Arabidopsis thaliana: one gene and its partner. The protein of the gene in region 2 interacts with the protein of the main gene of each other region in a pairwise test. Each region holds a gene or a part of one and is shown on either strand. Other genes may lie near its edges.

Region 1 (5,152 bases), about 25 Mb from region 2:
CGATTTCGTTTCTACTATTGAGCTCCAACCTGAAGAAATCATCTTCGTAAGATAAAACATCAAGGTGTCGTGGTGGTGAACGCTGAGAAGGCGCGTGGGCTAACAAGCGGAGCATCTGGAGGAAATGCGAGCCAATACTGGAGTCTTCTACATTCAGATCTGGGGAAAGTGGCTGCGGTGGCGCCGGCGATGAATAAGCGGCGGGAGTCGGTTGAATTGACTCGACGAAACCTTTGTTACATTCGCAGCACACGACAAAGTCATCTAAGGTTTCAACGACGACGCGTTTGTTGCAGTGATAGCACCAGTGCGACGCCGTGGCATCCGGGGAAGACGACGGAGCATCGGACATCGTGCAATTAATCGTCGGGTTTTCAGGCTTTCGGGTCCGGATTCGGATCCGATAAGCCGATTAAGAGGATGGAGAAAATAAAAGAAAAAGGTCTCTCTGTATTATTATTATCGAATTTTTAAGACATTAGAGAATCCTGCTCATTTACCCACTTGACCCACCCACAATATCATAATATTTTCTTCTATATATGATATCACCATCATCATAAATTCATAATACTTACAATTTAATCAAACTGTTCAATTGCTGTCAAACATAAAAATCAAATTGTTCAATCCAATTTAAACCAGCTTCCAAATCAAAACTGACTTGCACTTTTATCCAAAAACTTGATAAGATAAAGTACCATTTGACCCATGAAATTTTGTCATATCGAAAAGCATAATTTTAATTTCTTTTGACAACAATACAAACATATAACTCGAATACATAACTTTGTAATAGCGATACAATTGTTTCAACAGCACCCATAAAATAAAATAAGATTAAAAAACCCAAATCGTTACAATAAATTACAATACAAAGATGGCCTCCTCGTCTCAAGCATAGTCAGACCCACCATGAAGGTGATACATAGCGAAGTCTCTCCATTCACCAAATGTTGCAAATGGCAAAAGACCGTTTATGACTGGAAGAACAAACAGAATCACCACATACACGACACTGCGCCTTGCCCAATATGGAAACATACTGTTACAACGGTTCGATCTGGTCTCTTGAGTCACGTTTATAGGACCGAACATTAGACCATACAAAGCCAATGTGAAGACATTTGCAACGAATTGCAAAAGGCAAAACACTTCCCAAACTATTAGCCAGAGTTTGCCATCACCGCCCAATGTGTCCACACACAATTTACCCGATACACCGCAAAATATACCGAGGAAAAGAACGATGAAACTTATCGGCATTGTCTGCTTCGTACCTGATGATCGTTTGTTTAGAAAGTAAGTGAAGACAATGATCATTAACACACCGAAAAATATCTGCACCCAAACTCGAACCCGGCAGATGAAGGTGTTGAAGCCTGAGTTAATCGATGAAACTTGTTTAGGAACCCACCACGACGAACTTTTCTCCTCGGATTGGTCGCATACTGAGGTAGCATCCTCGATTCTCTTTATTGAAAAATTGTAAACGCCAAGTACCATAGAAGCCAACATGCTGAAGACACTTACGAGGAGCCAATCCATGATTCTTGTGACCATCTCTTCTTTTCTTGTATCTTCTAATTCGGTTTTGAATTTCTCCGCTCTGAATGCAGCTTTCGAAACATCCAACTCTAGCGCCGCTTTCCCCAGGTTGTTTGATTCAAATTTTAATCCTAGCGCCGTCTCTTTGCACCTTAACTCTCTTATTTGAAGACCAATCTCCACGGTCTTTAGGTCGTTTGCTCGTGTTTGCTCTTTTAAAAACCTTTCGTCTGTGGTCAAAGCCATTGCTGAACTTCTAGGAGGGACACAAGAGAGTTGTAGAGTCTCTTCGAAAAGGGCAAGCTCATTCATCAAAGAGGTTGCTGTTGCACTGCCTTGCATCACTTCATAAGCAGACGTAGCAGATGAAGTCTCCCTCTCAAATAGCTCGGTGTCTGAGCATCCGTCTATGGTAGAGCGATCTAAATTACAACTCCCACCATCATTATTGTTTGACTGATGTGGATTTGCACATTCATTGGTCAATTTAAGGATCTTTAGAGTACTGCTGAATGTTTGCTCAAAGTTGGTCGCAAAGGAACCAAGCTTATTACCATAAACCTGTAACCACAACATTATGAATCAGAAAGTCTATAAATATAAAAATGCGGAAAACATAGAGGGGGATTTTAGCTTACATTGGCTAATGATTCTTCGACAAGAGTAGCAAAGATCTGGAGAGCATAATCAATGAAGTTCTTGTATCACTACCAAAACGATGGCAAAAGAAAGATTGAACAGAAACTGAGAAGAAATCATTTGAAGTTCATACTACTTACCTCAACAAGATCATCAACATAAACATTCTGACCTGCGGCATTCTTTCTCGCAATAACCTAGAGAACAATAAAACAGAGTAGAAACAGAGTAAGAACTACAGAGCATATGCAAGTCAATGACTTTGGCGGCTAGGTAGGATGAAATTTGGTGAAATCACAATCAGAACTACAAATCCGAGTAGAAACTAGAAAGGCTCAAGCTTTAAGGCAAGTGAGAGAGAAGACAATATAAATTTGCAATGTTACATTGAAGCTCGATCATAGAGACCCCCAAGAAGAACTTCAGCTTCTATTGATTGACTCTGATTATAATTTGAGGAGAAGATCCTCTCTTCGATTCAGGGTGAAGAATTCACGCAAGTACTGAGAGAAGAAAATTCAGATTCAATCCTTTTGACTCTGATTCAGATCCTCTCCTCTGTCCAGTTTTGAATCAACAAAGCCTAAATTGAAAGACTTTGTATTTAATACTATCTAAAGATCAAAACTTTCAACACAACCAAAACCTAGTATTCACGCAAGGTCAACTATAGGAACAACCCGTACCAGCAAAGCCAATTTCGTATCAAAACAGTTATGTGATGCAATAAAGATCAAAGTTTGGAAATTGATCGAACCATATTAGCAAAAGCGGCAAGTGAAAAGCCCAGAGGCTTCGCCAATTTTTCAGCTTGTCGTTCACCAACGCTTCGTCGAGCCATACCTAACCGCATAGGGTTTCGTAATCTATGAACCACTCTCGTAACCCTTTTAGTAGAATTTGAATTAGAGGTAGAAGATGTAGAACAATAGGACGAAGAAGCTTCGTCGTTGTCCATAATCTCTTTCTTCTTTCCCTTGAGTTTTCTCTTTTCCAAATTCGATGGATTCGTATCCTTCTTCTTCTTCATCATCATCGTCTCATCTTTATGTACGTCACCAGATTGATGATTTGGCTTTGAATTCGCCGGATTGGTGATTTGATTTTGGGGTTCCGGCGAAGGAGGGAGGAGGAGGGCTTCCATAGCCTTAAAATATAACTTATGGGGTAAATTTGCAACTTTGAGAAAAGTATTTAAGTTGTAAGACTTTGGTCGCTTCGTGACTAGTGAAAAGTTTCGAATTTCCAACTTTTTCCTCTGATTTAATTTGTATTTTTAAAAATTCGTCATAATTAGCTTAATATAGGAAAAATACTTGACCAAATATCTGAATTAACTTGTAAGTTCAACGAATTCTTCAAATTATACAATGTATATGTTAATGTCAATTAAATAGGTAATAATATGTTTACTCGATTTTTAGCGATAATTTGATGTTTCTAGGTGCTTTCTGTTCAATGAATAGGATCGGTTCAGTACTTAATTGAACTAAAAGTCATACATATAGCTTAGGACCAGATTAACATACCAAGTAGTCGAGTTTAGGACCGAACCAATCAGTTTGGTTTGAAGATGGACCATAAAAGTGTTTGGAAAAAGGAACAATAAAAAAAATCGCACAATGTTTGTGGCTCCGATAAATAACACGATGAGGTGTCTTAACACAACCAATCAAAACACAAGAACATCTCCTTCACTAATCTCATCTTATGCCACGTGTCCTTTTCATATCCACCCCTTTTATTTTATCATAATTTTTTTTTTTAACATTCTCTGTGGTTCGTCATGAACCTCAAAAAACCTCTCACTGCAAAGTGCCAACAAACAACAAGTCTTCACCTTCTTCTTCTTCTTCTTCTTCAAAATCTCTTGTACGCAAATAATCCATGAGAAACTAGGGTTTAACTTGAGATCTCTCTTCCGAAGTATTACCATCAATGGCGACTTCTTCTTCTTCATCGTCGTCTCTGCTTTTACCAAACATCAATTTCAACTCAAGACAATCTCCAACAATCACTCGTTCCGTTTCAATCGCCGGGATCTTCTTACCCAGAAACCGATTAAGCTACAATCACAATCTCCGGATTCGTACGAGATTAATCAGAGCTTCTAAAGACGATAATGTCGCTGTTGAAGATCGTGATAATGCAGTGAAGATCAACGGTGATTACAACGGAAGTGCACGTTTAAACGGTAACGGCTCTGCGAGAAAATCCGTCAACGGAGATTTTAACGGAAGTGCTCGTTTGAACGGTAACGGTAGTTTGGTGAAGTATGTGAACGGAAGTGTAACGGTGGAAACGGAGGAAGTGACAAAGAAGAGAAAAGAAGAAGTGAGGAAGAAGAGAGTAGAAGATATTGGTCAAGAGGATGCTTGGTTTAAGAACAACACTCAACAAAAACAAGTTGAGGTATAAAGTAATGTACTTTTAATCAATATCGTTTTGTTTAATGATTCAATTCCTTGAAAGTTTGCTACTTTAATATTGTTTTACAGGTTTCTGTTACACCTGGTGGTCGATGGAATAGATTCAAGACTTACTCAACTATTCAAAGAACATTGGAGATTTGGGGTTTTGTTGTACAGTTTATTTTCAGGACTTGGTTAAGCAATAAGAAGTTCTCTTATAAAGGTTGATACTTGTTTTTGTTTGCTTACGTCTAGGATTAGGACGATTCTCATTTTGTCTAAATTCTTGAAAAATCATGTGTATAAGGGGGAATGACTGAAGAGAAGAAGGTTTTAAGAAGGAAGGTTTTGGCTAAGTGGTTGAAAGAAAACATTTTGAGATTAGGTCCTACATTTATCAAAATTGGGCAACAGTTCTCTACTAGAGTGGATATTCTTCCTCAAGAGTATGTTGATCAATTGTCAGAACTTCAGGTTTGATTTCTTTTTATTCTATTTGAATTTGTACTTGTGGCCTGTGAGGCTCTTCTTTTTTAAGTTTTATGATCTTATGC
Region 2 (3,251 bases):
CATTAGCTCTCTCGTGGCTTCTTACACAAGCACACGTAAGTCACGCAACTATTTACATAATCTCATCAACCAAATGGTCCAAATCACATCAACACCTAAACCATCCGTTAATTATCATTCTTTTGAACTTTATTACTTTGTTGTAACCTGACTAACTACTTCTTCTTCTTTTTTTGAACCTGATTAACTTATTTTCAAAACTTTGAATATAATTACCTTTCTAACTTTTCATAACCTTAAAGATGGTGCCATATTGATTATATTTTGTTTTAATTTTCTTACTAGCTACCATCATAATTATGCTTATGTTAATTGGATCGGAAGCCATAATTATGCGCAACATGGTAACACATAATAGAAATATATCGTGGCCGACAAAAATAATTGCTTGCAAAGGCAACTCATTTTCTCTCCTTTTGTTCGTGATATCTCAGTGTTTTGAAATTGTTACTTTTATATAATTAATAGTTATCATCATAACCCATGACACAAAATTTCATAATTCAAACTATTGATCAATTCAAGAGATTCATATATCCTTATTAAGAAAGTACATCGATCAGCTAATGATGAAAATGTACTTTTTGGCCACTAAATAAAGTAAATGCTATAGGATTTCATTGTTCAGTTTCACAACTTTCATCAGTCGATATATATAGGTTTTTTCTTTTATCCAAAAGATGATATACATACTTGTGCATGTGCCTCTCGCTGGAAATATATTTACGATGTCAATAAAACTACTGGAATTTGGTCATTCGTTATCAAAACAGCTAGCAAATTTTAGTAAAGAAAAAAAGATTCCATCGATCGATCGCACATGTATATTTATAGAGTGGGTCGACGTGTAAAGTTGATAAAAACATTACATAAAAATAAATAAAAATCGAAAAAGCTATTCGAAATTATGGAACCTTTAATGAAACGTCCAATTATTGATCATCTTCGTGAACAAGAACGGAAACTTCTTCGCCGCTTGGCCACCGTGATAGCCGTCGTGGTGGATGACGCCATCGTTTGGTTGTAAACAGAGGAGAAGAACCGCTCGATCTCATCTTTGTTGACGATGATCTCATACTTGGACAATGACGTCATAAGCTTTCTCTTGCAAGATCTGATGCCGAGAGACGACGGTGTGGAAGGTGGACGGGGTTTCTGCGGTGGAGGAGGAGGAGTGGTGGCTGTGGTGGGAGGAATCTTGTGGTCGGAAGAAGTGGGAGTGGTGCAGCCGCCGCCGTCATCATCTCTGTTGGTGTTGGCTCGGATCTTGATGGCTGGTGGGAAATTCAAGATGGGCAGATCTTGTATTAAATCAAGATCCATTCTTTTTTGTTTATATAAATATTAAATGTATATGTTCTTGAAGAGTTGTTTTTTTGTTTGTGTGTTTTAGCGTGTGCCTGAACAAATCTTCTTAGAGAAGTGGACTTGTGGGTTTCTTATATATATGTGCTTCTGTCTTTACATACATGCCTTTTTGGTTGTATATGTGTTTATCTTTAATATAATTAGAAAGATAAGCGATGATAGAAATAAATCCACACTACTGCTACTTCTCTTCATTTACATTTGATAGATAAAAGTAAGCCACATGCCAAGTTAATCCATTACTATTAGTGAAAGCTTCCTTACAATCTTTTAAAAATAATGAAAACATATATTTTGAGGAAATAGTGATGTAATGGAATTTCTTACATGCATATTTAAACAACGAAAAATTTACTGAAATAAGTAAGGAATTCATAGTGCCTATTTTTCATGTCAGTAAAAAGAAATTGTATCTTTTATATATTGGGTTATGTTTTATTAACGAACCAATAATAAAAAAAACGTGTGTTACATGAAGCTTAAAAAGCTAGACAGTAAAGAAAATTCAATAGAGGAAGCAAAGAATATTTTAGACAAAAAAAAAAAAAAAAAGAGGAAGCAAAGAATATAAGTTTTTAAGATAAAATTCAGTTGTTTTCTACTGTAGAGAAAACAGTATATGCATCTATATATATACCGAAAGATAGAAAAGTCATCTTTCCAAAATGAAATAAAAGAAAAGAAAATGTAGAAAAGAGGGTATATATTCATATTTTTAGATTGAGAGTTACATCCACTTAAAAAAGAAGAATCAAATCAAGGAAGAGGGAACCTATATAGAATTAATTTACTTTAACAAAAATATTCAAAGAACATATTTTTTTTAAAAAATATCAAACTTCTATCAATCCGAATGTAGACTTAACATGCACGCATATAATTTAGTTTTTAGAAGGATATAAAAAGAAATCAAAATATTATTTTTGGTATCCTGTTTACATGCAAATTTGTTTGGTTAAAGTAGTAACATGCATTTGTTCAAAATAAAAAAAAAGTAGCAACATGCATATGTTTAGAAAAAATAATCAACCAGTAACATGCATATGTTTAGTTGAAGTACATAATAGATAGTTTATATTTATATAAAAAAATAGTTTATATTAATGAAAAATGAAAATCATATAAAAAATGAGGCAGATATATAAAGAGATTCAAATTTTACCTCAAAGTTTTTAATCTAGATCTAAACGTAGAGGTTGGTTAGAATTTATGTCGTGTACCGCTAAGGAAACTAGAGACATGTCATGTGTATAGACTTTAGAGTTTTTGTACATGCATGATGTATCAATTACATGCATATTTAACATATATACATATTTTGTCAAATTATACAAAATTATGTTAAAATATGTTTATAACTACGATCTGGGATATAATTGCAGTCGGTTTAATCTTATTTATTCTCTTTTAAATTAACCAAGATTCCATTGCAGAGAAAGTAGCATAATTTTATTAAGTAAGATTCCATTGGTATATCTTTTAATGATACTATTGACTATGATATTAACTTTTATCCGCACGACATCTACACGTTCGTTTTAATCATGTTTTTTTTTAATTTACTTACAACAGACTCCTCATGCCAATAATCATATTTCAAGAAAACAACTATATAGTTAAATTTGAATCTAGAAGTCAGCTTATACATGATGTATGCAGTGTATATCCAGACTTTAGTTACAAAGGTATTAAGGTAATTTAGTGTACAGAGAATCTATCATCTAAAGAAATGCCACGTGTCGAATTTAGAGGAGGCATGTAGTGTGATGTAGGGTTGATCTGTGGATGGATGCGACTGCCATTATCAGACAGTGAAAGCCCAAAAAAAAAAGGTACAGAAAAAGAAACAATCTCACTGATCTTTTTCTCAGTCTCTCACCGTC

What was found.
Region 1: the proteins of SIM (region 2) and CPR5 come close enough for resonance energy transfer, tested with the Arabidopsis thaliana proteins (one study listed by BioGRID).

Annotation. Positions count from the first base shown.
Region 1 is NC_003076.8:25,944,991-25,950,142, forward strand, and holds CPR5 (CPR5 protein), read right to left. Parts: upstream 3,408-5,152; 5' UTR 3,332-3,407; coding exon 2,945-3,331; intron 2,385-2,944; coding exon 2,328-2,384; intron 2,223-2,327; coding exon 2,187-2,222; intron 2,110-2,186; coding exon 895-2,109; 3' UTR 693-894; downstream 1-692. Other genes in the region: CIP8 (COP1-interacting protein 8), read right to left, coding at 1-352; ATH13 (ABC2 homolog 13), read left to right, coding at 4,126-4,599, 4,686-4,821, 4,906-5,072.
Region 2 is NC_003076.8:1,265,954-1,269,204, forward strand, and holds SIM (cyclin-dependent protein kinase inhibitor), read right to left. Parts: upstream 1,464-3,251; 5' UTR 1,405-1,463; coding exon of another isoform or gene 1,394-1,404; 5' UTR 1,324-1,393; coding exon 940-1,323; 3' UTR 672-939; downstream 1-671. Other genes in the region: AT5G04475 (uncharacterized protein), read left to right, coding at 1,067-1,304, 1,394-1,404. UniProt on the Arabidopsis thaliana protein: Cyclin-dependent protein kinase (CDK) inhibitor that functions as a repressor of mitosis in the endoreduplication cell cycle. Inhibits the kinase activity of CYCD3-1/CDKA-1, CYCD2-1/CDKA-1 and CYCB1-1/CDKB1-1 complexes in a dose dependent manner.